Linked DNA regions of Oreochromis niloticus. The protein of the gene in region 3 interacts with the protein of the main gene of each other region in a pairwise test. Links are inferred from orthologs where the notes say so. Each region holds a gene or a part of one and is shown on either strand. Other genes may lie near its edges. The genes, in order: lrrc45, exoc7, kxd1 and mob1a.

Evidence for each region.
Region 1: the proteins of kxd1 (region 3) and lrrc45 interact in binary tests that used the Homo sapiens proteins (3 or more experiments, as listed by UniProt). The two-hybrid records come from large-scale screens. The link is inferred for Oreochromis niloticus from reciprocal best matches to the Homo sapiens genes KXD1 and LRRC45.
Region 2: the proteins of kxd1 (region 3) and exoc7 interact in binary tests that used the Homo sapiens proteins (3 or more experiments, as listed by UniProt). The two-hybrid records come from large-scale screens. The link is inferred for Oreochromis niloticus from reciprocal best matches to the Homo sapiens genes KXD1 and EXOC7.
Region 4: the proteins of kxd1 (region 3) and mob1a interact in binary tests that used the Homo sapiens proteins (3 or more experiments, as listed by UniProt). The two-hybrid records come from large-scale screens. The link is inferred for Oreochromis niloticus from reciprocal best matches to the Homo sapiens genes KXD1 and MOB1A.

Annotation. Positions count from the first base shown.
Region 1 is NC_031973.2:28,377,700-28,384,748, forward strand, and holds the start of lrrc45 (leucine-rich repeat-containing protein 45), read left to right. Parts: upstream 1-4,047; 5' UTR 4,048-4,167; intron 4,168-4,239; exon of another isoform or gene 4,240-4,378; intron 4,379-4,606; 5' UTR 4,607-4,663; coding exon 4,664-4,892; intron 4,893-5,365; coding exon 5,366-5,427; intron 5,428-5,527; coding exon 5,528-5,598; intron 5,599-6,197; coding exon 6,198-6,376; intron 6,377-6,536; coding exon 6,537-6,665; intron 6,666-6,756; coding exon 6,757-6,869; intron 6,870-7,049. Other genes in the region: pseudouridylate synthase TRUB1, read right to left, coding at 1,206-1,278, 1,405-1,486, 2,139-2,194, 3,433-3,531, 3,618-3,765. UniProt on the Homo sapiens protein: Component of the proteinaceous fiber-like linker between two centrioles, required for centrosome cohesion.
Region 2 is NC_031973.2:3,946,462-3,953,935, reverse strand, and holds the start of exoc7 (exocyst complex component 7), read left to right. Parts: upstream 1-4,465; 5' UTR 4,466-4,635; coding exon 4,636-4,695; intron 4,696-4,860; coding exon 4,861-4,926; intron 4,927-5,231; coding exon 5,232-5,416; intron 5,417-5,495; coding exon 5,496-5,601; intron 5,602-6,145; coding exon 6,146-6,368; intron 6,369-6,612; coding exon 6,613-6,780; intron 6,781-7,105; coding exon 7,106-7,117; intron 7,118-7,474. Other genes in the region: tvp23b (Golgi apparatus membrane protein TVP23 homolog B), read left to right, coding at 1-105, 1,435-1,524, 1,691-1,816, 2,653-2,781, 2,874-2,900. UniProt on the Homo sapiens protein: Component of the exocyst complex involved in the docking of exocytic vesicles with fusion sites on the plasma membrane.
Region 3 is NC_031972.2:56,468,850-56,476,544, forward strand, and holds the start of kxd1 (kxDL motif-containing protein 1), read left to right. Parts: upstream 1-4,682; 5' UTR 4,683-4,841; intron 4,842-5,124; 5' UTR 5,125-5,144; coding exon 5,145-5,242; intron 5,243-5,369; coding exon 5,370-5,522; intron 5,523-5,604; coding exon 5,605-5,651; intron 5,652-6,967; coding exon 6,968-7,224; 3' UTR 7,225-7,695. Other genes in the region: sinhcaf (SIN3-HDAC complex-associated factor), read left to right, coding at 672-1,002.
Region 4 is NC_031977.2:19,147,180-19,154,420, forward strand, and holds the start of mob1a (MOB kinase activator 1A), read right to left. Parts: upstream 3,008-7,241; 5' UTR 2,826-3,007; coding exon 2,812-2,825; intron 1,700-2,811; coding exon 1,533-1,699; intron 1,113-1,532; coding exon 1,019-1,112; intron 1-1,018. Other genes in the region: mthfd2 (bifunctional methylenetetrahydrofolate dehydrogenase/cyclohydrolase, mitochondrial), read left to right, coding at 6,341-6,420. UniProt on the Homo sapiens protein: Activator of LATS1/2 in the Hippo signaling pathway which plays a pivotal role in organ size control and tumor suppression by restricting proliferation and promoting apoptosis.

The DNA.
Region 1 (7,049 bases), on a different chromosome or scaffold from region 3:
ATCTCAGAGCATCTTCACAAGGAACTGGGTCCACACTACACCCTCAGTGAGCCCACACATCATTTCTTAGCCTTTACAACAATTAGTCATTACGGCTCTTTGATCATATCATTAACCTGTAACATGCCATCAAACTGGCTGCACATTCAAAGAAAACTGGTTTCAGTTCAGCCACTTATTGAAGCCTCTGGTGTCTACTGCAGCGTGTTGTGCGCTGAGAAGGTGATTGGCTGCAGACTCCCATCTCTGCAGGACCTGTACACCTCCAGGACACTGGGGCGTGCAGCTCGGATCACAGCTGACCCCTCTCACCCTGGACTCAGTCTGTTTGACCTGCTCCCCTCAGGCAGGAGGCTCCGGTCCATTCGCACCAGAACCTCTCGCCATAAGAACAGTTTCCTCCCCTCTGCTGTTGGACTCATGAACAACAACCATATGACTGTTCCCACCACTAACATGTGACCCTACACTGTGTTCACTGCATCTGTTCCATTTTTGCACTGATCATCACCTGCGCACATGTATATATGAATCTGCTCAGCACTTTTAATTTTAATTTTTATGTTTTTGTAAGTGTTGTCTTACAGTATGTTTTGCACTAAGTACGGCAGCAATTTCCTAATGTTGCAAACCTGCTCAACATTTGGCAATAAAACCCTGATTCTGATTCTACTTCTCATCTTTGCTTGTGTAGACTCAAAATGATGACACGGCTAATGTTCCTCAGAAAATGGAAATGGTTTCTCCACAAATGGATATGCAGCCTATTTTAACAATCAAAGTCATTTTGTGGTTCCCTGATTTGAATTTTCCTGCTGCATCAGCCAACCTGTCACATTCCTGGAAGAGTCTGTGATAAAGCTGGGAATTCACCTCGAAGATGAACCGTCCAAAGCTCTCGTCGTGCCTCAATTCATGCACCTTCATGTTAGGTAAGCATGTAACCACTGCACCACGGAGCTACTCACTGCCTGCAACCCCCAAAGAGGAAACTCACATGAACCCGACGTTTATACATCTACCATCAAATCTAACACCATCCCAAACAAGCACAGTAACAGAGGACGTGAAGTCCTGAGCTGCTGCTCTGAAAAGTTTTAGGTTTTGATTTATGCAAAAGAAGATTTCATCTCAAGAAAAAAACGTTTCGTTTGATCTAATTAATGCTTCAGACGTGGATGTTGACTCCCGGAAGCCGTACTCACAGCGGAGGCACTTGCATGATGTCACCAGTGAAAGCTTTCAGCTTTTCCTCAACGTCCAACCTGGTTATGTGTTCTGGAGAGGAAAATATATGAAGACATAACTCACTGAGAGACAGACGGTAGAGCAGAAACAGAAGTTTGCAAAAGCAGATTATCCTGCTGTGTCGAGGGATCTGAAAGATCAAATGAATGGATTTACCAAAACCTTTCTCCAGAGTCACGCTGCCGGTGGCATCAAGAGTGTCTGTTGCTTTTCCAAACTCTCCAACGGCAATATATTTCTGAGAAACACACAACATGTGTCACATTTGTGTTTCCCCTTAAAAGAAACACCCAGTTCATCCACAGTTAACAAGTTAAAGGAAGCATTCATGCATTTGTCATTCCAGACATCTAATGTAAACGAGACGTTCGAGTCTGTTGAGGAACTGTATTGTATACACACTACAGAATGTCCTTATCAATATATATTTGCATGTATACTTGTACCTAAAAAAGTGCTTCTTCTACACATACACAGAGGTTTGTGTTGTGGTTTCTAACAGCTCATTAGTACTTGTTAGATCTGCTACCATGAAAGCAGGCACAAACCAATCAGCACGTATCAACACAATGCTAGAAGTTCATGGGGGAAACTGACTTCACTGTGACACTAACTAAAGGACACACGTTGTTTTATTTGTACTGGAACACGTCAGTGTGCATCTGTTAAAACTAACATGTTTGGCTTCATCCAGGTAATGAAATATGTTAGAGTCAGAGTAGCAGTCAGAGCTTGGCTGGTTGGCTGGTATCAGTTTAGAGCTGCACAGCAGTGCACAGCAGTGCAGCTCTAAACTGCATTAATGCACGGTGCCTCTCACTTTTCACCAGACGTCATGGTTTAATGCACAGAGAAACAGTTTAGTTCAAACAGCAGTGAAACAAACTGACCTTTGACCCAGTCAACATTGTGCTGAGCATTTTGGTGCCGTTCCCAACACCAACAACTGAAACAAAGAGAGTCCAATGATTAAAGTCCTGCTAGCGCCCCTTACAGGTTGAAATGTTCACTGAACTCACTTTTAATTCATTAATCTAATCACAGTTCACAAACTCAGAATATACTGAAACATTTATATTAAGTGTTCATCTTTGTGCTTTGTTAACAGTTGTTAACAACCTTTCTTCTTCATGACATCATCACCTGGGACTTTCCAAGCAGCAGTGAAGCAGCTGCTTTTCACTCAGACTGAGCCAACATCACTCCGCTGTAACCTGACTGAACAGCTTTTCTTATGTATAAGGACGAGGTGGAGGCGTGCTCTCGTGTCCCTGTGCTGCTGAGCTCAAACCAGACAACATGGCATCGTGCTGCAGGATGTTGTAGCAGCCATGCTGGTTAAGAGCCGTCTTACAATCAAAGCCATGTCACACTGTGGGAAACGTGCACCTCACAAAGACACAGCAGCTGGAGCATCAAATCTCATATTTGAACTCGTTTAACGTCTTTTGCTTGTATTTCTTGGTGCACACGGTTCCTTTCGTCATGGAAACACACCAAAGACACTTCAGGTTAGCTCTGACTCCAATGTTAAAATTCTCAACTAAACAGCAATAAAAGCATTTTCACTGCCTTTCAAAAGACCAGTTTGGTCTCTTTACCCACTTTTCCCTTTAATGGTGACTGTGGGTTTAATTCGACCACATTGAATTAATTTTTCCTAAAATTATGGGTGTGGCCACTTTGACAGACGTACCAGCACAATCAGCAGGGTTGTCTGGTAGGCCTCACCTCTGCTAATTGGAGTCAATCAACCAGGCTTCTGCACTTTTAGCTGCATAGGTGCTTTATAAAACACTTTAATAAAGATAAGAACTACAGTTGGGCTCATAAGTTATCAGGAAAATCGAGTCCTATAACATCGTTATTCAATGACAACAACTTGCATTTGGCAGTTGTTCAGCGAAACTGTCAATATGAGGCTGCAATTGAAGGAGGCCATCATTGAGCTAAAAGCACAAACACAAAATACAGCCATCAGAGGGAGAGCAAATTACCAATGTAGTCCATTCTTAAAAAGCTAGAAAGCACGGGCCACTCAGAAACACTAAAGGCCCAAAACACCACTGAAGAAAATTTGAATGAATTCTTCACTTGCCCCCCCCTTCCCTCCTCCCAGGGCAGGAATGACAACAGTCGCACGTGGCCCAGCACCGGGACGTGAACGCTAGCCTAGCCGCTTACCCAGCACCCCGCTGGCAGCGCTGTCCAGCGTCCCTCCGTGTCCCATCTTCAGGCTCTGATTCTTCCTCTTCCGCGGGTTTGGATTTTTGACTCCCGCTTCTGAAAGAAAAAGCGACACAAACGATTTACGGTCAGCTTTTCACAAACACCAGGCTGAACGTCCTGCTGCTGTTTGGTCCCGTTACCCTTGAGCAAAGCTTCCTTGAGTACATTTAACACGTCTGCGGAGGTCGGTCCTTGTTTTTTATATATCGCAAACAATCCGTTTAAAGCCTGTAGCTGTGACAAAGAACTAGTTATCGCAGGGACGGTGTTACTGACGTTCCCAGCCATGCTTGTTTCTCTTTTCTTTGGCTAATGTCCATCTTCTTCTTTTACCCCCAGTTGCAACTATGCGACCCGCTGTTGTCTTTACTGCCACCTGCTGGTTGAGCAAAAACTCCGTCTTACTTCTGCATGAATAACATCATTAAACAATACGATGCTTAATAACCTTCTGTTTTTGACGATCAGTTTAAACAGTATTATAGCCAGTCTTAGCTCATCCTCACACAGATTAGGCCTGATAAAAACGAACAAGCAGATAGATAAATAGAGACTTATTTTTTCGAAACTACGTTGACCAAAATGCTTTGCGTCAAACACTTCCTAGTTACTCTGTGCCCTGGTTTCCTTTTTCTGTCAGCTGGTCGAGCTACAACAACAATAACTGTCAGGAAGACAGTTTTGGTGGAGGTCTGTGTTTTTATCTTAACCTGTAATTATTATTTTGATCGCTACTCAAGAAACCCGGTTTGAACCCCTCCTTACTTGGATCATCGGTTTAAGATTTGATTGTCCCGCGCGAGCCTCTGACTCGCGTGGAGATAGCTCCTCGCGTCACTTTCATTCAAAACTGGCTGTTCAGCGTGGGTCTGACTGTTACAAGCTACCATGTAAAATACACGTCAGTACGCTTTAAATCCACACAGTTGTGTAGGCTGGTCGCTACAGTGGTTAAAGTTGATTCAGTGTCGTGTGATCATCAATTATTTCTTAAATTTAGCAAAAGAAAAAAAGTATCCCTCGGCGTTTTTGTTATTTATTAATGCATTTATCTTTGATGCCAGGAAAATCAACAGCACATGTATAGATAGCAGCAGTAAGAACTTTGGTCTCTCCTTCTTTTCACCAGTTGGTCTGAGGACAGAAAGCTCTGCTCTTTAGATGATCAGGAGTCTGCAGAGCCTGAATGGAGGATTTCAGGCGGATATACCTCCGTCTGTGTAAGGAGGGAGGCGTGGAGCCTCAGGAGGGTGTTGTAGCTCAGCTCCAGGAGAGCAGGTCTGCTCAGGGCTCCAGACTGGACCTGAGTGGACTGAGCCTGTCTGCAGATACCTGCTCAGTGCTGGCTAAGGCCTTCCATAAGGATACTGTCTTTACTGAGGTGTCACTCAGTGACTGCATGCTCAGCGAGGAAGGTGCGTAAGGACAGTCTTTATGTAATGTGGAGAATTATACAGTATGTGCAAGTGTATGGTCCTCAATAATGTGAATGATGCAGTGATGTGGCCCTGCCCGAGTCACACTGCTGCGGCACGTCTATGTAATGTACTTTAATCAGTCTGATGGTTAAATAATAAAACTATCAGAATGAGTGTGTTAGGCTACATATCACACAGATGCTGTCAACAAAAAGTCCTTTGGTTCTGATCCTGAACAGATCTTCACATTTACAGAGTTTGCGCTGCTTGAATTAGAAGGATAAATGCAAACAGTCTTTTTTAAATGCAACAAACAAACAGAGAAATAGAAAACATTCATATAGATCTTTTTTCTCATTAGCATAATAAACCACATTTGCTGCTCTGGTAAATATTGTGACTCAGGATGCTGAGTGCAGGATTAAATTCTGTGTGTGTGTGTTAGTCACTGTGCTGTGTGTGACTCTCAGGTGCCAGAGTGCTCCTCAGTGGACTGTTTGACAACACAACTGTCAAAGTCCTGGATCTAAAGGTACCGCCTCCCAAATTAGACTCTCCACACACGGTGACACTAGTTTTATTTTATTGCACAATATCTGTGTGTCCTTAGGTTGTGTTTTTATTGTTCACAGGGGAATAACCTCAGATCATCAGGAGCCGAGGTGCTGGGACAGTTCTTGGCACAAAACAAGACGCTGCACAGGTGAGACTCATGCTCTTTGTGTCTGTGAACCATTTCATTCCTTTCCCTTATGGCTGTTAATAGTTGTATAGTACCGGTTCACAACAACAGATCGTAAGCTGTCTTTTAACAGCAGGAGACCTGCGAAAGCCCGCAGGCTGTGTGTAGAGACAGACAGACACTTTAGTGATCACACAGAATATTTAGTAGTTGAGTTGACCACACAAAAACCGCTGTAGTCACTTCTGTTTTTGGTGAGAAACACTCTGACACTTTGTATTTCACCACAAATGAGTTTCAATCAAACAACCAAGATGTGAACAAAAATATTGCATTTGTGGCAATTTTCAAACACATGAAAGACACATGACATGAAAGTAAGAACAGACAGCCTGTAGTGTGGGACATCATATATAGTCATTGAACTATTCTGTCTGTCCTGCTCCTGGAATTTGGAGGTCATGATACTGAAAACAAAATAAACCCGTCAGAGAGACAGCAGAAACGTGACCAAATGCACAGTCTTATCATGCATTTCTGATCATTGAAGGAATCTGTCAGCACATAGTCTGAGTACTGAAGAGTGTGCCTAATTAACTGGCAGTGTTTGGTTTTTGCAGGCTGGTGCTGGAGTGGAATGCGTTGGGCGTGTGGGACGAAGCTTTCTCGCTCTTCTGCAGCGGTTTAGCTTCCAACTGCGTGCTGACGCAGCTGGACCTGCGCAACAATCAAATCAACCACCATGGAGCATCGGAGCTCGCTCTGGCACTCAAACGCAACAGCACACTGGAAGTTCTAGGTGACACTAACTGGTTAACGTCATGTACCGTATTGTTTGGTAGAGAACAGCTTTTAAGAGCAGCCTCCGTCGTATGGCAGCATCATAAGTTTAAGCTGCAGAGCCTGCTGTTGTCATCAGCAGATGGTCCATGCTAACTCCTCTTACATTACTTACTCAGATCTCAGGTGGAACAATATTGGTCTGCTGGGAGGCAGGTCCATGCTGGAGGCACTTCAAAACAACAAGAGCATAGTGCAGCTGGAGATGGCTGGGAACAACATACCCAGTGACACGCTGAAAGCTCTCGGTAAGTCCTACCAGAGGTCGTAACGCTAGCAGTATGGCTTTGTTAGCATTACTATAACATGGTTACGCTGAGAGCCATCTTTACCTTTCAGAGCAGGCCACAGGGCACAACTCAGACAGGCGGTCCACCCTGAGGGAGAGCCGCAGCCGGACCCAGGTCCTCAGCAAGGAGATTCAAACACTGAAGGAGGAGAAAGGCCGGCAGGTAACCTCGCAATCCCAAACTGCAGACACCACAGGTCGGCCATTCACCTCCAAAGTTTTGAATTCAGGAAACATTTCTCCCAGAGAAGCGATCAGAAGTCTACAACCTGTCTGAATATGGGACTTCTGATCCTCCCAGCACTTGCACCACCAGTAGGAAACCCCAGTGCGTGCACTCTTG
Region 2 (7,474 bases), on a different chromosome or scaffold from region 3:
AGTGCCATCATCGTGTACCTGCTCGCTGAGCTCATCGGTGGGAGCTTCATCGCCTGCATGGTCACAATAATCCTTCTGCTCTCATGTGACTTCTGGACAGTAAAGGTGTGTCTCTTATCACTTTAATATCACCACTGTAGGGATGTTGTATTGATTATAATTAAATATCTTGGTGGGGCTTTTTTGCTTTTTTTTTTTGGATTTCTTAAAGCCAGAACTCAGAGGAAGAGTGGACCAGATGAGATAAAAAAAATTAATCAGGAGCTTAAAAGCAAGATTGGAAGTCGTCCTAAAAGCTTGCCAACTGTTTTCACCTTTGGGTTATATATTATTAGTTTTGAATGAATTGTCGGTGCTGGGATGAGATGATGAGCAGTCGTGAGAAAAACATGGTGAAAAGTTTGGTCATAGATCCAACCGTCGTGTTTATTGACAGACAGTTCGGAGCCTTGGAGACGGGATATGCAACAGCCGGTACTGCAAACATCCAGTCATAATCATGATGAAGTGAAGCAGAGTTTACAGGCCAGCCTGACATTTGTAACGTGCTCTTTATTTAATCACTGTAGCTTCACTGCCTACAGTGAGATTTAAAAACATCTGGTTTCTGGATGTTTGTCGTTCACTGGTTCTTGTGGCACTGTTATTGTGTGCTGGTGATGTTCATGTTGAATCAGTTTAAATAGCCTCATGGTAGTGAACAACAAGTCCACATAAACTGGTCCTTCTAAAAGCAAATCTCACAACAAAACTGCCATCTTGGAATCAATTTGAATCCCTTATCAACAGAAATGAACGAGAGCTATGGGATTAATTTCAGTGGTCACTGGTGGAGTGGTTAGCAAACTCACTTGGCAGGTTGCTGGTACGATTCCAGCTGGAGATGCAAATCCTTTTTGGGGTTGAATGGAAATCACATGGTGGGAAACTGCCAAATCAAGCATGCTGAGCTACTCGCTGTGGTGACGCCTTGGGGCAAAGCAACAGCTGAAAGCAGCATTTTAGCTTTTACTGGAAAAGAAAAACTGCACGTAGAAAATCAGCAGTTAGATCTGATAAAAGATCTGACATCGTGACATCTTTACTGCACTATCAGGTACGTGGTGCCTTTTACCACACAGCTGAAGCTGTTGTGACCCTTTAGTGCGTACATGTACAGGGTTAATGTTTTTTCTGTTTGGGCGATCGATTGGCTCATTGAGTGCCATTTTTTTTTTTCTTTAAGGCTTTCCTAAATCTCCTGTAGAATCTCCTTGGATAATATCTCTGGTTGCACTCTGTAAGGCAGATGTGGAACTGGACTCAGTTTCCAGAGTCACACTGTTACACAAAGACTAAATAATTAAACCTAGGAAACAGTGTTCGGATCCAGCACCATGTGAATAAGATTTGCCAGAGTCTCCATAATGAAGCCATAAATCTCTCCATCTGCAGAACATCACTGGGAGGTTGATGGTTGGTCTGCGGTGGTGGAATCAGGTTGATGACGATGGACGAAGCCACTGGGTGTTTGAGTCGAGGAAGGTGAGATGCATCTCTGCTGAATCTGCTCTGGCTCTGACTTGGAGCTTTAGCTAAACGTGACCTTGACCTCTTGCTCTGTATCGGGTTGCACCGCCCAGATGTTTACAGTCAGTAGGCCTTATCATGTTCGCATGTCCTAACTGAGATATGTTTCCGTCTTCTTCAGGGTACAGGGAAGCAGCAAGCATCAGATTCAGAGTCCAGAATATTCTGGCTCGGACTGATTGTTTGCCCCATCCTCTGGGTCATCTTTGTCTTTAGCACCCTGTTTTCATTCAGGATTAAATGGATGGTAAGTTGTTAGATTTAAGTGACTGGACAAGTGCTGTTTTTCTTATTATCAACAAATCCAATTAAATTTTTCTCACAGCACTGTCTTACCTAGCATTCCTGGCTGTGTCTCTCAGCTCTAAGCCCACTGAACCCTATTAGTTCTTGGTGCTTTCTTAAGTAAAATTAGACAATAATTACTTGGTAAACGTGTGCCAGTGTTTTCTTGCTCTCACCCTGCATCTCAAGCTTGCTTTCAAAGTTTTCCTGCTGCATGAGGGGGGACTTTTATTTGCATGTAAACTGTATATAAAAGATGGGCATAGCCGTCCTGTGGTTTTGGGTTTCACAGTTTGAAGCCTCAGTGTTTTTGTTTAGGCTAGCAGATGGTTAGCAGCTACGTTACCTAAAACATCACCTAAGAAAGAAGAAACTGTCTGTAGAGGGCAGTTTTAAACTACAGGTTTTATCCCTCGAGATTGTTGTTTGGGAGTCAGACACAGGAACACAGTGGACTCCTTCAGCCTGAATGCTCCATGTCTGAAATGCTCACAATGTGATTTGAAGCTTTATGAGATGATGTGTCGGACATGCACCCAGTGTTTTCCCAGGAGGCTATATGCTCGTTTGAGGTGCACATGACCTGATGCAGTAAGGTCCCAGTAAGGTTAGAAGTCGTAACTTTTAAAAAATGAAAACAAAGATCAAAATCTTAACAAGGAATCATGATAGAAACAGACACTATTAGACACTGATGGCAGTGAAGAGGTTCACCTTTAGCCTTTTCGTGGGATTTAATAAGGGGAATATGAAATATGACCAGGGTTTATTTCAGAAAAATTTTCTTCTTTCTCACAGCCCGTCGTGATCATGGGCGTTGTGCTGCAAGGCGCCAACCTGTACGGATACGTGAGGTGCAAAGTGGGAGGGAAGACCAGCTTAAAGAACATGGCTACCAATTATTTCGGACGACAGTTCCTCAAACAGGTGAGTTTTAAATAAAACACACAATAAAAAGTCTTTTAATTTAAAAGTATTTGTCCTGTTTCTAAGAAGTCTTTTGTGTTTTTCCTCCTCAGACGCTGTCTAAGGAAGAGGAATCGTAGAGTGCAGCTCTGCGGCGTTAACACATCTGCATTATTCTCAATGCTCTGATATATAAACCTTCTTTTTCTCAGTGGACACGGGCAGGAAAGCATTCTCAGAAAAAGGGCAGTTTTTGATTGTGTGCTTTCTTTAAATGACTCAGTAGAGTTGTCTTTATCTTCCACACAGAGGTCAGAGGTGGGTTTTCACTACCTGAGGTCCAGCAATAAATCCTCTGATTACCGAGAACTGCATGAGTGTAAAACAGCTGACGCGTCGGAGTGACTGTAGTTTGTGTCATAGTCTCACAGCTCCTTCAGATTTCTTCTTTTAGTTAGTTTGCCTCTAATAACTTTATAAATTAACAGTAATTAAAGAACCTTTGAGAGATGTCATACAGACATTTTGGTTTGTATGAAAGTGTGTAAAGTGTAACAGGAGATTTGTAAATATGTAAGTGAACAAACTGTGTGAAGAGTCATCTTTTGTGCAAATACATTTGTAACGTTTTTCCGAACTGGGTGCTCGTGTTTATTTATGTGGAGAGTCTGATTAGTTCCAACTTTTTATAATGCGGGAGCCTCTAAGAAAAGAAAAGTGTTGAATAAAAAGAATCCCGTAAGAGATTCAAGAAAAAGGAATAAATATAAATAAGATTTGTTTCCATTAACCAACACTGTTCCAGGTTTTTGTTTAATTTCAGAAATTTATAGACTCAAAAATAAAAATATTACTTAATGAACTGAGTTTAAACATTTAGTCTGCTAATTCCACGGTTTGTTATTCATGTATCTAATTAGTTATGACTGTGTTCTCATGCTTTTAATGTGTTTAGTACTGAGTGCAACAGCGACCTCTAGTTGTTGGTTCTCGTCATTGCATGTAATTGCAAACATTTTTTTTCTCAAAAACTTTGAGAACTCTTGATTACAGTTCACAAATAACATAAATATTTAGGCGTTTGTGTAAAAGTGCCTCAATGACAAAATGTCAGTGTTGAAAAGTTTTCTTTAAACTTAAAAATCTTCTGATTTACATTCTTAGACAACTACCTGTGTTTGTCTTTTGTAAATAAAGTTTTTAAAAAAGATATCCGGGATAAACACCCCTTACCGGAAGTCGGTGTATTTGACCTCCATAATAAAGGTGACTCACATTATCTAGCAAAAAGGGCAACAATTGTGATAAATGGGGGGACAAAAATCTTATATTAAAGGATATAAAAATTTACAAAATGTAAAAAGAAAATTAACACTTTTGTGGGATGTACACCTCATACTGCTTTACTCTGTTCATTTTTATTGTCATACAAACAGTAAATGCATTCATTTCTAAAGCTTTTTAGGTGGGTGGGACAAAGGCTTCACAATTTTAGTTGAAGACTATACCCAAAAAAATGACTGTGCTCCATAATAAAAGACAACTGAAGAAGAATTGTGTGTTTACTTTCATTTGCAGTTAGAATAAGATATTAAATAAACTTAAACGTAATCCTGATTTAGTACAAACTGATTGGGGGGAAAACCGATGAGCATTTTTTTCACTGTTCAATTTAGTGCCGATGGCTGTTTTATTTTGAAATTCTAACCGGAAACCCTTGCCCTGTTACGGCTAACCAAACTAGCTTAACCTCACCGCTTTTAGCTATCCATGACAGCGGCTCAGGGGTGTCGTTGTTGTTTTTATTATCTAAATCGGCAACTTAGTCACGTTTTAGCCGCAGAAGAGACTCCTTTGCTTTAAATTTCCTCCAGGATGATTCCTACGGAGGATGCGTCCGCCAGGAAGCGGGAGATCGAGGAGAAACTGAAGCAGGTCAGACAGCTGGAGGCTTGAGAGGAAGGAAGCTTCCCTTCGAGCTACAACCCACCAATGTGGCTCAATACCCGAGTTTAAAATGATGCTTATTGACCGAAGGAGTGTCTTTAATGTCTTCAGAGTGAAATGAGCGAGTGGTTGGTTTTCTTTCTGCTGTTACAGGAGCAGGAGACGCTGTCGTTCATCCGGGAGAACCTGGAAAAGAGCGATCAGCTGACCAAAAACATGGTAGGACGGTCCAAACACACCCAGGGACAGCTCAGGCTGACACTCATAATTCTCATAATTAAAGGCGGCGGACTGATCTCCATTCGACAGTACTTTGACCCATTATTAAAAATAATTATTATTCTTGTACTTGGATTGAAATATCTACTTATAGTTTCTATAGATTTAGTGAGTCGATGAAAGCAGCCTGTGGTGTCATTTTTCAGCTTTCACCCCACTTCAGCTGGGACTCATTATTTAAGGCGCTATATTAAAGCTGCTTTTATAGCCCAACTGGTTTTTCACCTGTATTTCTTTCCCAAAAGGTCTCCATCCTGTCTTCATTCGAGAGCCGCCTGATGCAGCTGGAGAACTCCATCATCCCGGTTCACAAGCAGACGGAAAACCTGCAACGGCTGCAGGAGAACGTGGACAAAACTCTGTCCTGCATGGATCACGTCATCAGCTACTACCATGTGGCCAAAGACACGGACAGGATCATCAGAGAGGGGTGGGGATGACCTTCGTATGCAAATGTTTTGTGGTTACACAAACTCCGACATGTATACTAATTTTCTTTTTTGTCTCAGACCTACAGGCAGACTGGACGAGTATCTTGCTTGCATTGCAAGAATTCAGAAAGCTGTCGAATACTTTCAAGACAACAACCCAGACAGCCCTGAGCTCAACACAGTGGTAAAATATCTGCCTCTCTGAAATTACAGTTGTGGTAAAAATTTTACAATCCACTCATCATAGGTGTGAATGTCCTGGAAAGTTTGGGCTTTTATTAATTTCTTTGAAATGTTATTTTCCCAGGGTGGGAAAATAATAGGATTGAGGTGAGGATGTTGGGAAGACTGTACCAGAATCTTAATGTTGTCCTGCTTTCTGTGCTCTTGTGTTTTTCTAGCAAAATACATAAAACGAGCCTCTGATAAATACAATGTGTGTATGGTGTGTCGTGGTTCTCACAGTACTACGGTGAAAATATTTTTTTTAGCCACCTGTGTCTGAAAGATAAAAAGCTATCTGAGGCACATGAAGCCAACAGTTCCCCGTATTTACTGACTGAACAACATTATACACAGCATAGCTCTCTGTGTGAATCGTGCTGTTATTCCTACATTCATTTATGTGTAAATTTCATGCACTTTTTCCTCACTGCAGACGTCTGCTTCAGTCTCTGTGCCGTTCCGAGTCGTAGTCACTAATTTCATGACCGTATCTTCTTCTGCAGAAAGCACGCTTTGAAAAGGGGAAGGAGCTGCTGGAGGGCGAATTCCGCAGCCTCCTGACCCGCTACAGCAAACCCGTTCCCCCCATCCTCATCCTGGACGCCATCAGCGTGGATGAGGAGCTGGAGGTCCAGGAGGAGGTGGTGCTGGAACACCTGCCCGAGGCCGTGCTCCAGGACATCATCTGCATCGCCGGCTGGCTGGTGGAATACGGACGTAATCAGGGTACGGCTGTGTTTGTTTGTTGGAGGTCTCTTCCTATTTAAAGGAAGTTCTTTACCACATTTGCAAAAATCATCTGATCGTTGGGCTTTTCTCTCTAATATTGGAGGTCCTCTACCTTACAATCTAAAAATCATCTTACCACCAGAGCTGGGATGATGTAAATGATTAAATTGGCTTTGAAATGTGCAGGCGGTGTAGAGAAACTGGAAAGATTGTGTCTAATTTTGCTCTCCTCTTCCTGCAGACTTCATGAACGTCTACTTCCAGATCCGGTCCAACCAGCTCGATCGCTCCATCAAAGGCCTCAAGGAGCATTTCCGCAAGAACAGCGCCTCCTCCGGTGTCCTCTACTCGCCTGCCGTCCAAACCAAGCGCAAGGACACGCCAACTAAAAAGGCCCCGAAGAGACCAGGTCAGCAACAGATGTGCCTCATTCAGACCGAATCCACAATCACGCCACTTCAGTCTGTAATCAACTCGCTGTCCAATCCCGTCTTCCATAGATCAGCCTAACAAACACGCATGATCCTGCATAGTGACGGATATTAAATACACTCGTCACTACATCCACAGTCTGTTTCTGTCTCAGGTTATCCTCCACAACCTCTCTGTAATCACTCAGTTCACCGAGCTGTAGCGCACTTCTACCACACACTGTGTTTCTCTGTGATATTACACCCTGCTCTAACTAATCCTTCATCCTCTCCTCTTTCATAATCCCTGTGTTGTGATGACAGTCTACATCCCAGGTAAACACAAAGCTCTAGCGTGTGCCTCGTGCTTGCTTCTGTCCGTCAGATGCCACATTTCACGGCAAATCAGAGACAGCATGAGGGTTTGCGTCGTTTTATTAGCAGCTGAGACAGCAGAGGTTTATTTGTCCTGTTGATGGTGTAGTAGGTGATCCAGTGGAGATTTTAACCTCTAGTTTCACGGCAGAGCGTTTCGGTGATGGGATGAGTAAGGTGGAGGTTGCCACCAAACCGCCGATAAACAAAAGTTGATGAAATTTCTTTACAATTTTACTAGAAATGAATAATTTATAATTGCATAGAATACAAATTATTATTTATGATTGAGACTAGCTCTATAAAATGATGTGTAAG
Region 3 (7,695 bases):
GTGATGCTCCCACCGATGCCCCACCCTGACAGGTGTTTCCACCTGCCGGATTACAGTGACATTACAGGGATTTCTTTATGTATTTAGCTTAATACTACTAACTGTTACTTAATAATTTTTGTTTGTTCGTTTTGGGTCATTGACTACTAATTGCATTTGTTTTTATTGACAATTTTCCAGGTTTGTTATAAATGTATTTAGGATTTGAGTTTACTTTTACCTTCCAGACAATCTGTAATGTTTTATTGGCAAAGTTTGTAGAGATTTTGAAACTTGCTTGAGACCAGTAATCTATCAAAGCATAAAAATATATTTAATTAAAAAAAAACTAAAATGTTGCCTTTTTTAAATAGATTTAATAACTGACTTTTGATTTTTGACTTGTTTTTCAATACATTTTTTAAAATTTAGTTTTTCTTAGAGGATTTTTTGTGGTGCCTGATGTTTCATCTTTTAAGCCTAATGCGCATCTTTTTTCTTTGTCAAACAGAGAAACAACAGGAAAATGCATTCATTTGTGTCAAATACTCAGTACTACCTTTACCACATGAAGTGTCATGCTAATCCAGGACAACCCAGATTAAACACTGAATGCATTTTAATGCAATGCTGTCAACAGAGTAAACACACAGAGCCATAATGGTTTCTGTCTCATTTCATGCTCTGTGCAGGCAAAAGGTGTGCTGTGGAATAATCTACAAGGGGCGCTTCGGGGAGGTGCTCATCGACCCCCACCTGTTCAAACCGTGCTGCCGCAACAAACAACAACAACAACAGCAGCAGAAGCAACAACAGCAGCAGGAGGAGGCGGAAGAGGAGGAGGACGACGAGGACGAGGAAGAAGAGGTGGAGGCAGAGGAGGGTCGGGTGCGTGTGGAAAAATCCCAGATGGGAGAGGAAGTGAAGGAGATGGCAACTTGTGGTGAAAGTGCAGAGTCTGCTCAGCTGCAGGTTGCATCTCCACCAGTCAGGAGTGAGGTGGTGGGAGAGGAAGGGTGGTAAAGTCACCCCCCCACACACACACACACACACACACACACACACACACACACATCTCTGAAGAAATCTTGAGGTGCTGTTTTTTTTTTTCTCTCAAGCACTTAAAGAAAAAAGTTGCCTCAGATTGCCTTCAGTTACAAAGCAGCTGAAAAATCCTTTCTCCATAATGAGGATTGTTGATTGCATTTAAATGATAACTTATGGACTGTTGTGTTTCTCCGTTGTCTGTCTTTACTTTGTATTTAATATTTTTGCCATCCCGACGATGGACCATCATACTCGGTGTAATTGATCTACTTTGAAATGCTGGAGCTCCACTTTGCTGGTACATTTTTATCAGATTTTATTCCAAAACGCAATACATCCACTTATTTACAGAAATAAAGGTGCTACTTAAAGCTCACAAACACACAGCTGAACCCATCTCAGTGAAGATGTTTTATAAGCATATATGTTAAGATGACTAATATAATGAGGTTAATTAATTTTGGTTTCTTTGTTCAGAGTTGATATCTGGGTTTTTTGTTTGTTTTTTTTAAATGGTGGATATCTCCCGTTTTGGAATGAATGACACTTTACACTGACGGAGCACAGACCTGTACAGTAACCCTCTGTTTTTCTGTCTGCTCACGACAACATCCACTCCTAACAAAGAGTTTGTGGTTTTTAGACTGGATTAGCGTTTCTGTGTGTAAATACGTATGGGTCCCATTTGAATAAGGCCTATTCACAGCTTCAACAGCAAATACACCAGCCTTAATTATGTGTTACAGACAGCGCTAGTGTTAAATCTGGATTGGTATTAAGGAACAAAAAGGGACAGTACAAATATTTATTGTGGCCTCAGCAACACACACAGTGCATTTTTGCATGAATGGCAAGCCCACTCATCCAAAAGACCGACTGATCTGGTGCATGAGTCTTCTAAAAATTGCATGGCCTTATAAGAAATTGTAAATCTTACTTTTATTTTTTTGGATCCATTTTTCTGAAGTTTTAACTTATTTTTATATGTAAAAAAAAAAAAACAAATAAAAGTGTCTTTGCATAATAATACCACACAATACAACAGCAAAACACAAAAATCGGTCTATCAGTCATTTTAGCAATATCAATATCAGTGATTTCCATCATTCCCGGGTCAGTATATGGTAAAAGACTTTATACAAGCTAAAATTCTATGCCATTGCCTCTTATATACCACAAATGTGTTGTGATATATTGCCTAATATTACTTTATTTATCAAATGAAAGCCAAAGCACATTGAAATTCACCCAATGTCAAATCAATGCAGGTTTTCTATGGACACTTGTGCTTGTCCGAGGTCATTTATATGTATGTTTTAAAAATAACACTAATATGAAATTTCATACATGTGATGTTGTAGTTAGGAGCAGCGGCTGTGTTATGTACATAAGGGGTTGGATGAGTCATATGGCTCTTTATATAGGTTTCATTATTTATTTATTTCATATTTATTTGTATTCCTACTTAGAGAAGTGAATTCTTTTCATCTTTAGCTTACTCGTAGTATGGTTTTATTCATCAGAAGTCGAATGTTATTCTCACGCAGGCTTTGGTTAACATTGCGTTCAATTACTGGTTGTCAATATTTGTGAAATGTTGTTAAATATTTATTTGCTCATCGGTTGAGTTGCGTGCAACCTAACTTATTCTGTATCATCACTTGTAGACTGAAACAGCTGATAGATTGCAACCAAACTGTACTTCTCCCTTTTTACCTTGTAGCTTAAAAATGTCACAGAATAGTAGGATACAATAGTAGGATACATAACTCTAGACTTGCATGTATTGTTGCTATGCATTTACTTAACTTACAAGTTAGAAGTTAGACAAAATGGTTTTGTATTTTTTATACATCATGTACTTTTTTTTACTTGTCCCTTAATAAAAATTAATTTTGTGAGCTTTCTGGATGTATGGAGTGACTGAATTTATTGGTGTAAGCCGGAAAGGGAGGGAAAGAGGGACGCTACCTTCTAAATATGAGCGTGGATGTCATAATTACATTATACATATACACCTGTCTAACTGTTTGAGGCAAATCTCTAATCAGCAAGCCAGATTGCAAATGTAGCATGTTTTCCACCATGTGATGTATCCGTGTGAATATTTCAGACCCTGCTGATCTGCTGGGATTTTCCCGCACAAACATCTCTAGGGTTTACAGATAATGATCTTAAAAAGAGAATAGCCAGTGAGTGAAAATGTCAGACTGATTGAGCTGATAGGAAGGCAACAGTGACTCAAATAACCACTCATCGTTACTATTAAAGTATGCAGTAGAGCATCTCTGAGCGCATAACATGTTGACCACCAAAGCAGATGGGCCACAGCAGCAGAAGACCTCAACGCGTGCCACTCCTGTTAGCTGAGAACAGCCTGTTTGCAGAGGCTCACCAAAACTTGACAGTAAAAAGTTTGAAAAATGTTGCTCTAGTTCTGCTCCAGTGGTAATGGTGGAGAATGGTAAGGTTAGAATTTGGCATAAACAGCATGAACCCATTCTGCCTTGTATGAAAGATTCAGGCTGCTGGTGTTGTGGTGACTATTTCCTTAACACACTTTGAGCCATTTAGCACCACCTGAGCATTGTTTAAATACCACAGCCTTCGCGGGTATTGTTGCCGATCATGTCAATTGCTTTATGACCACAGTGTACACATCTAATGGCTGATTTCCACAGGATATGTCACAAAACCAAGCCACAACACTCAATCTTAAACTGGTTTCTTGAGTATGACAAAGAGTTCATTGTACTCAAATGACCTCCACATGCACCAGATCACGATCCAGTACATTTTTAGGATGTGGTGGAACAGGAGATTCACATCATGGATCTGCAGCTGGCAAATCTGCAGAAATTGTGTGATGCCATAATGTCAATATGAACCAAAATATCTCAGAATTGATTCAAGCACCTTGCTGAATCTATGCCACAAAGAAGCAGTTCTGAAGCAAAAGCAGTTCTGAAGGCGAAAGTGGTCTAACCCGGTAACAACGTGTTCCTAATGAAGTGGCCGGTGAGTATAGATTACACTATTTTTTTTTTTAATTTTTTTTAAGAGAGAGAAACATAGGAGTTCAAATGTACATAAGGCTATTCATGTTGCTGCTCTTCAAGTTCACTTAAACAAACACGGTCATATACACTCGAAATATATTCCATGCATGCATCCATTTTTTCGCGCTTTTCCAATTCAGGATCATAGTTGTGCTGGAGCCTATCCTAGCTGTCACCGGGCGAGAAAAATATGTCGTGTGTTTCATTGTCACTGAAATTTCCGTCCATGACTTGCAAATAATTATGCAATTACTTCTGCAGCGACCGAAACAAAACACACTCTGTAAGAAAGTAGCTTAAATAAAGCACAACAGCTCAATAAAATAACATTATAATGACAAAAGAAAACATTTCACTAAAGTCAAAAATGATCTCAGTTAAACAGAAGAAATTGGGTAGAATTACATTAGCTCAGTAGGGAAAAAACAAATAAAATTGAGAAAGAATGGCACGTAAAAACAAAATAAAACACAATGACGTGGCTCAGTAGAATTAAACATCTCAATTTCATTTTTAATTCAATGAAAAATATATAAGTGAATATAAATTGCATATTAACGAAATTAATGAAAAAACAAAAACGAAAACAGACAAGCAAAAAAAACAAACCCGTAGACCGGAAGCGGTGGTCTCGTGACAGGAACTTGAAAAACATATGGAAGTGGGTTGTTTTTGTCTCACAGCCAGCTGTCAAATGTAGTCTTAATCTGCTGCGTAGTCGTCGAAACTCTACAGATAGCCATCGTCCGAGCTCAGGTAAGTAATGTAAACTTTGTAGTTGCATTTATTATTATTACGGCTCGGTAGCTAGCGTACTAATCCTGCGGTGGTTGGTTTGGGGTGCTAACAGGGAGCTGGAGGGCAGTCAAACACCGGCACAGCATGCGGTGAATAAATAATTCACAGCTGGAGTTGACTGCCTCTGATTTAATTAGTGTTCACAATTCTAGCTTCTTTCTTTCTCGTTGATTAAATGCCTGTGTTTACATTTCTGGATATTTTGGCTCATGCAGTTGTGAGTAAATGTTTCCAATTGCAGTTTTCGGCTTGCTCGTCATCATGGTGGAGCACACGGCATCTGACGTGTTCTGCAATCGGATGCTGAGCATGGTCAACTCTGAGGATGTTAACGCCATCATCCAGGCTCAGAGACACATGTGAGTGCCAGACTGAGCCCAGTGGTGCTTCCTGCCATGAAATATAAACTCTGTCTGCTGTTTGGGGTTGATCATATGTGTCTCAGATTAAGATTTCTGTTTCTCTGGTTAACTGTTGTGAAAACAGGCTCGACCGCTTTGAGAAAACCAATGAAATGCTGATCAACTTTAATGGGCTGTCTAACGTACGCCTGCAGCAGATGAATGAGCGTTTCCTGCTCCACACTCGCACCCTTGTAGAGATGAAGAAAGATCTGGACAGCATCTTTAGAAGGATCAGGTTAGTGTCTACTACTCCTACCATGCAAACATGCAAAAACAAAAAATACACCTTTAATCACAGGCTTTCTCTGCCTCTCCAGGACACTAAAAGGAAAGATAGCTAAGCAGTATCCAGAAGCTTTCAGCAGTGAGTTGTTGTTTTCTTTCTATTCATCACAACTTGATTTCTTTTTTTTTTTCCATGTTTCAGATTATCAAGTAAATGGTAATATTACACAAATATAATCAGAATAAATACAAAATGCAGTTTTTCATTTATTATGGGGGGAAAAGGCCATCCGATCTAACCTGGCTCTATGTGGATATTTAATAACCCCCTCCCCACCCCTTGAAACTTTAATTAACTGTGATTAAGTTCACTTTCATTAGCCACACTAGTGGCCTGATTACTGCTGGAATTGTTGAATCAGTAAATTACTAAACCTGACAAAGTGAGGTAAGCTAAAAGATCTCAAAAAGAGACAGCTCGTGCCACAATGTAAAGAAACAGCTGAGAAACACAGTTGACTGATATTTCATTATGAAAAGGGTTACCAAACCATTTCTAAGGCTTTGCAAGTCCTGCGAACCACAAAGAGAACCAAAATCCGCAAATGGAGAAAACTTGGAACAATGGTGAACCTTCCCAGGAGAGGGTGGCCTACCAAAATTACTTGAGAGTAAATCAACGACTCTTTCAGGAGATCACAGAAGGCCCCAGGACAACATTTGAGATCAGTTATAGTCAGTGTTTATGAATCAATAATAAGAAAGAGACTAGAGAAAACTGGCATCTATGGGAGAGTTCCAAGGCAAAAACCACTGCTGACCCAAAAGAAAACACCAAATCATCTCCTCTCACAAAAATATTTACATCAAGAAAATAATCTGAGGATTGACGAGACTAAAGTTGAACTTAAAAGGTTGCAGTCCCTTTTTATTTGGTGTAAAACTAACAGAGCATTTCTTAAAAAGGACATCATAGCAAGTTCACCACTGAATGGCTAAAAAAAACAAAAGGTTTTGAAGTAGTCAAGTCAAAGTTTGGACTTAAATCCAACTGAGATGCTTAAGCATGACTTTAAACAGGCTGATCATGTCCAAAAACTCTAATGTGGCTGAATTAAAACAAATCTGCAAAGAAGAGGACCAAAATTTCTCCACATCAATGTCAAAGACTCATTGACAGTTATCACAAACACTTGACTGCAGGTCTTGCAGCCAAGGGTGACAGTTTATACGTTTATCAGGTTTAGAGGGCGATGATTTATTCACACAGGACCAGGTAGGTTTAGACATGCATTTTGTACTTAGTCGGATTATCTTGGTCTAATATTAAAATTTGCTTAATGATCTTAAACATGTGTAACAAATATGCAAATACCTAAGAAATCAGGGAGAAATCAAATACGTTTTCACGGCACTGTAAATTGAATTTTTTAAACAATGTATTTTTCCTGACAGACATCCATGAGTCGCCCATCTCTGAGGAAGATGACGATGAATTTGACCCAGTTCCCCCAAGCATTGCCACAACTACTACAACAGCCACCTCAGAGCAGAGCACAGAGTCATGTGACACAAGTCCAGATGTGATCTCGCCCACTGTGAGCAGATGCTCTGAAGAGCTCTCTCAGGAGCCACCTGACACGCCCACCTCTGACTTCCTAGAGACAGCTGTCCTGCAGGATGAGGGTCCTGACTCAGTCCCCGCAGAATAGCGAACAGTTAATGGGTCACTTTAAACTTTTTTTTTTTTTTTCTTTCAGGAAGACTTGTTGTATAATTGCATGTGCACTTGCCACTGTAATGTTTGCGGTCATTTATTTGTTTGATGTTTTGAGGTGGCTTTGCACTGTCAATGAGAAAGATGCTTTTTTTGCCATACATAATTGTGTCGTGCCTGCATAGCACCACAATAATGCAGAAAATACTTGAACTTGTATAATACACCACTGTATATCTGTATGTGTATAACTATACAGTAGACCTGAGCAAAAGCCTGTCTGTACGAAGAAGTTCTCATCATGTCAACATAAATAACAGATACAAAATCTAATCTCACTCTGAATATTGGTAGTTAGTTTTTGCAAATGTTGATTGCACTTGTTGCAGCATTGTTATTCAACAGTCTCCTGTTAACCCTATATAATTTATTTCCTATAAAACCAGGAAGTATGTTTATCAGCACC
Region 4 (7,241 bases), on a different chromosome or scaffold from region 3:
AAGTTTCGTAGTCTTGATGGCGGCTATGTCAACAGGAAGTGAACCCCCCTCGTCTCTTCCTCCTGATTAGAGACTGAGCGCAGAAAGTCTTGGCAGGACAGAGGATAGGGGAAGAGTCTAACTAAACAGCTTCTACAGGGTCCACGTGCAAGATTTAATTCCCGTGTTCCTCATGTGACATTCAGATGACTGATTTGAAGCTGATTTAACTTAACCACCTGCACCACTAAAAATGTGATCTGGGAATCTGATTCTGCAGTTAACTCAGGAGATCAGATCTTAACAGCTGGACCAAGTCTCTTATATAAAAGAAAGCCATTTTTATCTCAGTGAGACGTCCTGGTAAAATAACAGCTAATAAATAGATAAAGTGTAATTGTGGAGCTGATAAAACAGAGGAAGTGGGCCGCATGAAATGAGTCAGCTGAATTTAGCTTTATCTGATACACAGTGCAAAACAGATTTAGCTTTTTGTTTTTCTTTGTCTTTTTTTGTTGGGGAGTTGAGTTAAATCCTCAACAAAAACATCATGTTTGGGTATCAAACACTAAAAAATGTTTTTCCCATAGCTCAATAATAACCCAAGTCTTAAAAGTCAAAAATTCACTTCTGTTAAATGTAAAAATATATAAATAATCTCAAGTACAGTCAAAGGCCAAAATAAGATAGATATGAAATTTAAACTAATGCATAAAAATGTGCCTTTGCTCTGCCTCTGAGTTTTGCTGGCCCGTGCTACAGAGTCATGTGTTAAATGAAGCATTCAAGCAAAGAATTTGTGTCGAGAATTTTTTATAATTGAATTACTTGATTAATCACTGCAGCCCTAGTCTAAGTGTTGTATATACCTTTGAAAGTGGGCCATTGTGTATATCAGTAACCACACCGATAGATAAAGCATCTAAACACCCGTGTTTTTCCTGATGTTTCACAACGTGTCTTCAGTTAAATATGCCCTAGTGGAAATACTTTTACTCTAAATTAAGAGCACAAACATGAGGACAATGATTGGCGTTACCTTGGTCCTGCAGACATCACGGAGCAGCTCGTCTCGGTGCAGAACTCGGTGATGGTACCGTACAGCATGTTGATCTGGTTGAAGAAATCCACCGCTAAAGGAAAGAGTAAATTCTTATTTGTTTTATCCAGAATTTATGCATGTTATTGTGATGAAAGAACTGGGAGATTATAATATGTATTTTAGTATCTACACTCACAGTTTAATAGATTTAAAAGCACAAAATGCTCATAAGCCATATATTTAAACATACCATGTTTTATTAGAGATAACATATAAAACATGTAATTCTACAATACCTGCTTAATGCAACAACCAGTTATTTACCAGTCTGCCAGCTGTGTGCACTCTTCTATGACCCTATTACTCTTTTTACACCACAGGGTGGTGCAAATGTGCAGCACCTGTACAGAACTATTTTATTTATGATTCATGTTAACACTGGGCACAGGTACAAACTTTAACTGGTTAGTTGGATACTGTGTGTGCAGGGTCATTGTACTGAGTCACTCACTATTCACTGCAATCCATTCATTGAGATCCTCTCCCTCTGGCAGCATGACAGCCTGTCTCAGGTTTCCGCTACCCAGCGTTGCCTCTGCGTGTTTCAGCAGCTCATACTGGTGGGAGCCCTCTGGGATGTTCTTCTTCGGCTTGAAGGTCTTAGATGAGCGACTACCACTGGACAGAATTTAAAGTGGATCTAAGAAATATTGTCTTCATGGTGGTCATGTGGTACAGGCCATATCTGTCTGCCCCCCCCACGGGGTTAACATTTACCCTTGAAAGGTTGACAATGTAATTTTTACACCTTAAACATCTGATAAACATACTGTTAACTGGACATGTTGATCCCTGCATGACTGACTTTCATGTGTTTTCCTTCCTCTTTTATTTTTTTCTTTATAAGGTCATTTGCAGTAAGATTGTCGAATCAAATGTGTAACAGGACAGAGAGCTGAACACAGTAAAGACTGAACTTGTGATAGTGAACTACATAAACAACAGACTTTTATCTAAAGTGTCGTTTTTAAAAGGCTAATTTTAGAGTAGATCCTCTTCCTGGGCCTTGATCTACACACGGGAGGACTCCTGTTCATGTGTGCACTCAGCAGATGCAAGCTTGGTGGTGGACATCTATAAACTTCACGCTGAACTCGTGATGGGTGACCGCTGCAGCGTTTGCCATCAAACCAAAAAACTTTGGCTTCCACAGCGTCAGAGCCGTGACTCAACCACATTATAGTGTATACCCACTGACAGGAAATGCACCAGTGTCACAGTATTACTGTAAACAACGGAAACTTAATTAGCGGCGTTACTTAACATTTTATAACCACCCAGCGAGATTAGACCTCCAAAGGTGTGGGATATGACTAAAAATTGAATGTCTAGCCTCACTTAAGTCAGTTAAAGAGTGACCATATGAGCTAAGCTGGCTAACCAAACGCGAGTTAGCGCTGCTCACCAGGCTAGCAAAGTTAGCACGTACTAACTCACTACTTTAAAAAGTTACAGTTCGTGAGTTGTGGCAAACTGTAAATCAACAGTTTCTCGATCATGTTACAATCATCAGTGGTAGCTCTGCGTAAGGAAGGCGTCACTTTAACGCAACTTAAACCTATACTAAGACTGGGATGCGGTTAGCTGACTACTTTATGTAGCGGTGTCTTATTTTATCGCCCCTTACTTCCCTTGACTGAACTTCGTAGAAGCGCAGCTAACATTAACCGCAAGCTCCGGCTGTAACTTCACGAGCGCTTAAAAAAAGAAGAAAAAAACACTTTACTTACAACAGGAAGCTCATCTTGGCGCAGGAATCGTTAAAGTTCCTGGATTTGAACTCTTGAAGCTAGTTTAGTAAACAGAAACGCGTTTTAGGAGTACACTGTGCGAGGCACTTGTCAGGGGTGCCTGCTAACAGCAACAGTGAAGGCTAACATGAACTGCACCCACAGAGCCTCTTCCTCTGTCTGCTGTCTGCTGCAGCGCAAATGGTAGTCTGTCGCCCCCTTCAGTCTGCCTGTAGGTATTACTACGTACATTTTCCAAGCTCAAGACCTTTCTGTTATAAAACTGTTACTTTCTCATGTGTCATCCTGGAGCACTGTGACATACTGTGACACTGTAATACTGTGACATAGAACAATCCCCTTAAATTCTTTATGAACTTTTGATCATTTAATATGAGGACAGTGTGACAACAGTGAGCTGTCTGGTAGGTGCTACGGATGAGGTCAAAGTCAGGGTGGGATTATATTCAGTATCGGCTTTGAGCCCCTTCTTGTTTGCAGTGGTGATGGACAAGGTGACAGATGAGGTCAGGCAGGAGTCTCCGTGGCAATGATGTTTACATATGGCACTGTGATCTGTAGCGAGAGTAAGGACCAGGCGGATGAGAGCCTGGAGAGGTGGAGGTCTGCTCTTGAGAGAAGAGGAATGAAAGTCAGAGGAAGCAAGACAGAATATATGTGTGTGAATGAGAGGGAGACAGGTGCATTGAAGATGTAAGGAGTAGAGGTAGTGAAGGTGCATAAGTTTAAAAACCTGGGGTCAACCATCCAAAGAAACAGAAAGTGTACAAGAGAGGCAAAGATGAGAGTGCAGGCAGGGTGGAGTGGATGGAGACGAGTGGTGGGTGATCTGTGATACAATGATAACAGCAAGAGGGAAAGAGAAGGTTTACACTGAAACCTGCTATGAAATATGATTTGGAGATGGTGGCCATGAAAGGTGACTGAGGTGGAGGTGGTAGAGATGAAGATGTTAAGATTTTCTTTGGGAGTGAGCAAGACAAACAAGATTAGAAATGAGTAAATCAGAGGGACGGCTCAGGTTTGAAGACAAAGTTAGAGAGGTGGGGCTGAGAGAGACACTGGATGCTGAATATGAAGCTGTCAGACAGGAGGAAAAGAGGACGACCTCAGAGAAGGTTCATGGATGTAGTGAAGGAGGACATGAAAAGGGCTAGTGTGATAGAGGTGGATCCCAGGGACAGGGTGAGATGGAGATTTTAAATCAAACAATGGATATACGATCTAAGTGCAGACTGTCAGCTTAAATCTTTCTCATTTTCAGTTAAATAATAAGCTATTTCATTGCCAGGTGATGCCTGTTCCCTCATTATAGCAAAACTAATTATGCCGATAAAAGATCTGGAGTAAAAGGTCTGAAGCGTTGAATTTGCATTTGGAATTCGCAATATGAGGCAAAAAAGACACATTAGTGCAGGTGAAGGCATCGTTAGTTTGGAAACACAAATCTATCTGAGAGGTATCAATATATACATATATCTTTGGACATATAAAACAAGATGAACTTGTACCTGAAAGATGGAGAAGAGAAGAGAGAGACAGCATATGATCCGAAGCATACAACATTATCTGTCAGAGAACCTACTTTCACTCATATTCATTCATATACCCGCCCTGCATGTGCTCTCCAGATAAGGAAGTACAGTACATCTCGGTACTCTCCAAGCTCTAAGCTAAGCTGTTAGCTTGTGGTTCCACCAAAGAGCGAGAACAAACAGTGGCAAACAGAGAACAGATCAATGTGTTTCAAAAGGTTCAGTCAGGTATTACATTTTTCCACAAAACCTCCAGCAGACATGGGGTTAACTCCAAAGAATCCACTGCCTTAGTACTGTTTTTCCTTTAAGTGCCCACAGTTTGACATGAACATGAATACAGATAAGACCTACATTTAATCAAGTGCTCAACTAAAATACAATTCTTGTGTATCTGTACATAACTGAGTATTTAAACGTTGAAAGAAAATCTGCTTTAATACATCCAATAGATAAATGTGCCATGTAGTTGTTTTTTATTAGGGTTTAAGAAAAAACAGTTTTAAAGGATATTAAAGCTGCCAATAGGGAATAAAGTAATTACAATGGTTCAACTTGACCAAGAAAGCCATGATAATCATTTAGTAATCTAATAGTAGCAATCCAGTTTCAGCGTTGCTTTTAGTTTTCTTATTATAATGTGGGTGTTAAGAGTTAGAAGCAAGATTTATAATATTATAATACAAACACAACACCTCATTTGATACAGACATGATGTGAATTTACACCAAAGCCTCATTAAGCTGTCTGGGTGTTTCAAATCTGACCACACTGCCAAAAAGTAAGAATGTTTTCTGTTTATTTTTTATTTCAGTCAGTCTTGTAAGTACAAATTATTGTTTCCGATTTCTTCTCTCATTTTTATTTTTATTTTGGTTAATGAACGAGTCCATGAACAAACGTATGAAAAGTGACACAGACAACAAAAAAGTCATGAGAAAAATGAAAGTCGGTCAACCCGATGAGTGCAAAGCGTCCTGTGGCTGCAGAACAAGCCCAAATCAACACCCCTCCACCACCGTGCCTAACAGCTGCTATGAGGTGTTAGGTTTATGACAAACACGGTGCTGTGCATTATGATCTCCTTTTTGGTCTTGTCTGTCCACAGGACATTGTTCCAGAGGTCTTGTGGTTTGGTTCAGATTCTTTTTAGGAAGAAGAGGCTTTCTCCTGGCAACTCTTTCAAACTACATTTATAGTATGAACAACAACTCCATAGTGCCTTGTTGCCTGTAGCCTTTAGTCAGAGTCCTCAGATGTTTCCTCTTCTTTGTGCACCTCAGAAGTTGAACCAGAAACCTCAAGCCTGTTTCCACAAGGATAGAGGGAAAAACAAGCCATGATTGTTACTCTTTTACTAACTGTACTGTAATGACCTTTAACATTTAACATGCCAACTGAGGCCTGTGGAGTCTGTGATGGGGTTCTTGGGGTTTTTTTTACACTGTCTCTGAGCATTACAGGGTGTGACCTTGGCGTGAACTGCTGTGAAAACTGCAAAAAGTTCTGTGAAAATCCAAAACAATTAAGTTAGTTTTGCAAATATATAATATGCTTAAGTTTTTATTTAATGAATTAGCTTTTATTTCAGTTGATTCAAATGTTTTACCACACCTATACTTGGTTTCAGTGTTGTTTTAGTTAGCTATGATGATCCTGGTTGTTTGAACGTGGAAACTGTACGTGAAAAATAACTTTAAAGCTCTAAAAACAACAACAACTCTGACTCTATATTGAAAGAATAACGGCCTGGTACCGCTCATGAGCTTCCACGCTGGGCTGCTGTGAAGGGGCAGAGCTCTGCAGCAGAGGGCTGGCGACTGATAGCAGTGACGTAGGCAGCTTCCACGAGCGGGGGGGAGGTGTTTAAAACCGCTCTGCTCCTCTTCCTCCTTCACAGCCTCCCTCCGTCAGACCCGGGGTTTCGTAACCGGCGCTGTAGCAGTGTCTCCTCTTCTGTGAGCCGGTGAGAAATGGCAGCGCTCAGGACTCTCAGGAAACTGTGCCAGCACACACAGCACCAAGTCTGTAAACTGCACACGTCCGCCTCGAGGTGAGTCTCCTCCGCACATCTGCTGCGGCTTTAACGGTCATTTTACGACCTCTGAGGCGCTTCTGTTTCCTCACTCGGTAGGAGTGTTTGGTTCTTTTTTAGTTTCCCCACCCCCCGTGTGCCCTCTTATTTGTAGGCTTTTATGTACGCGGATGAAGTCGCTGGGTTTTATTCTGCTGGCTTTTATTGTTTTATTGTACTAAACGTCCTCAGTTGAGCACATTTCGCAGCGCCCCTAGCGTCACGCCGGTAATATTGCAGGTGTAGATGAGGGGTGGGGGGGCTGGCTGATGAAATCTGTGTGACTGCTTGCACCCAGTGGCAGGTTTCAGGTGGAGTTCGAGGTGTAGGTGTGCACACCTGGGGCAAAATGAACATGCAGGGTATATCTGATCACGTGGTCTGTAAAACCTGATATAACAAGCTGAGAGTAATGCTACAGCAGCTAGTCAGCAGCCTGTTAAGCGTTTGCATCGTGCAGGTATTTATTGGAAACTTGCTGAGTGCAGTATGACTACATGCAATTAACTAATCTTTCACACACACAAAAAAACTACTCTTAAATCTCGTGGGTCCTGCGCATGATCTGCGTGATTTGCAAAGACACAAGGCTGATAATTTAGGACATATGCATGTGTGATTATCTTACATCACTGCTTGCCAAATTAGATCTGGTGGGATCACGTTACCTCAAGTTAATTTCATTTATATATGTGAGGAAAATTTCTGCAAACTCAGCTGCGAGAAGGACTAGTGCTGTGTTATCATGTGCAGAGTAAACAATAACAAAAGATAAATATTGTGAACATGAGTTATTCAAA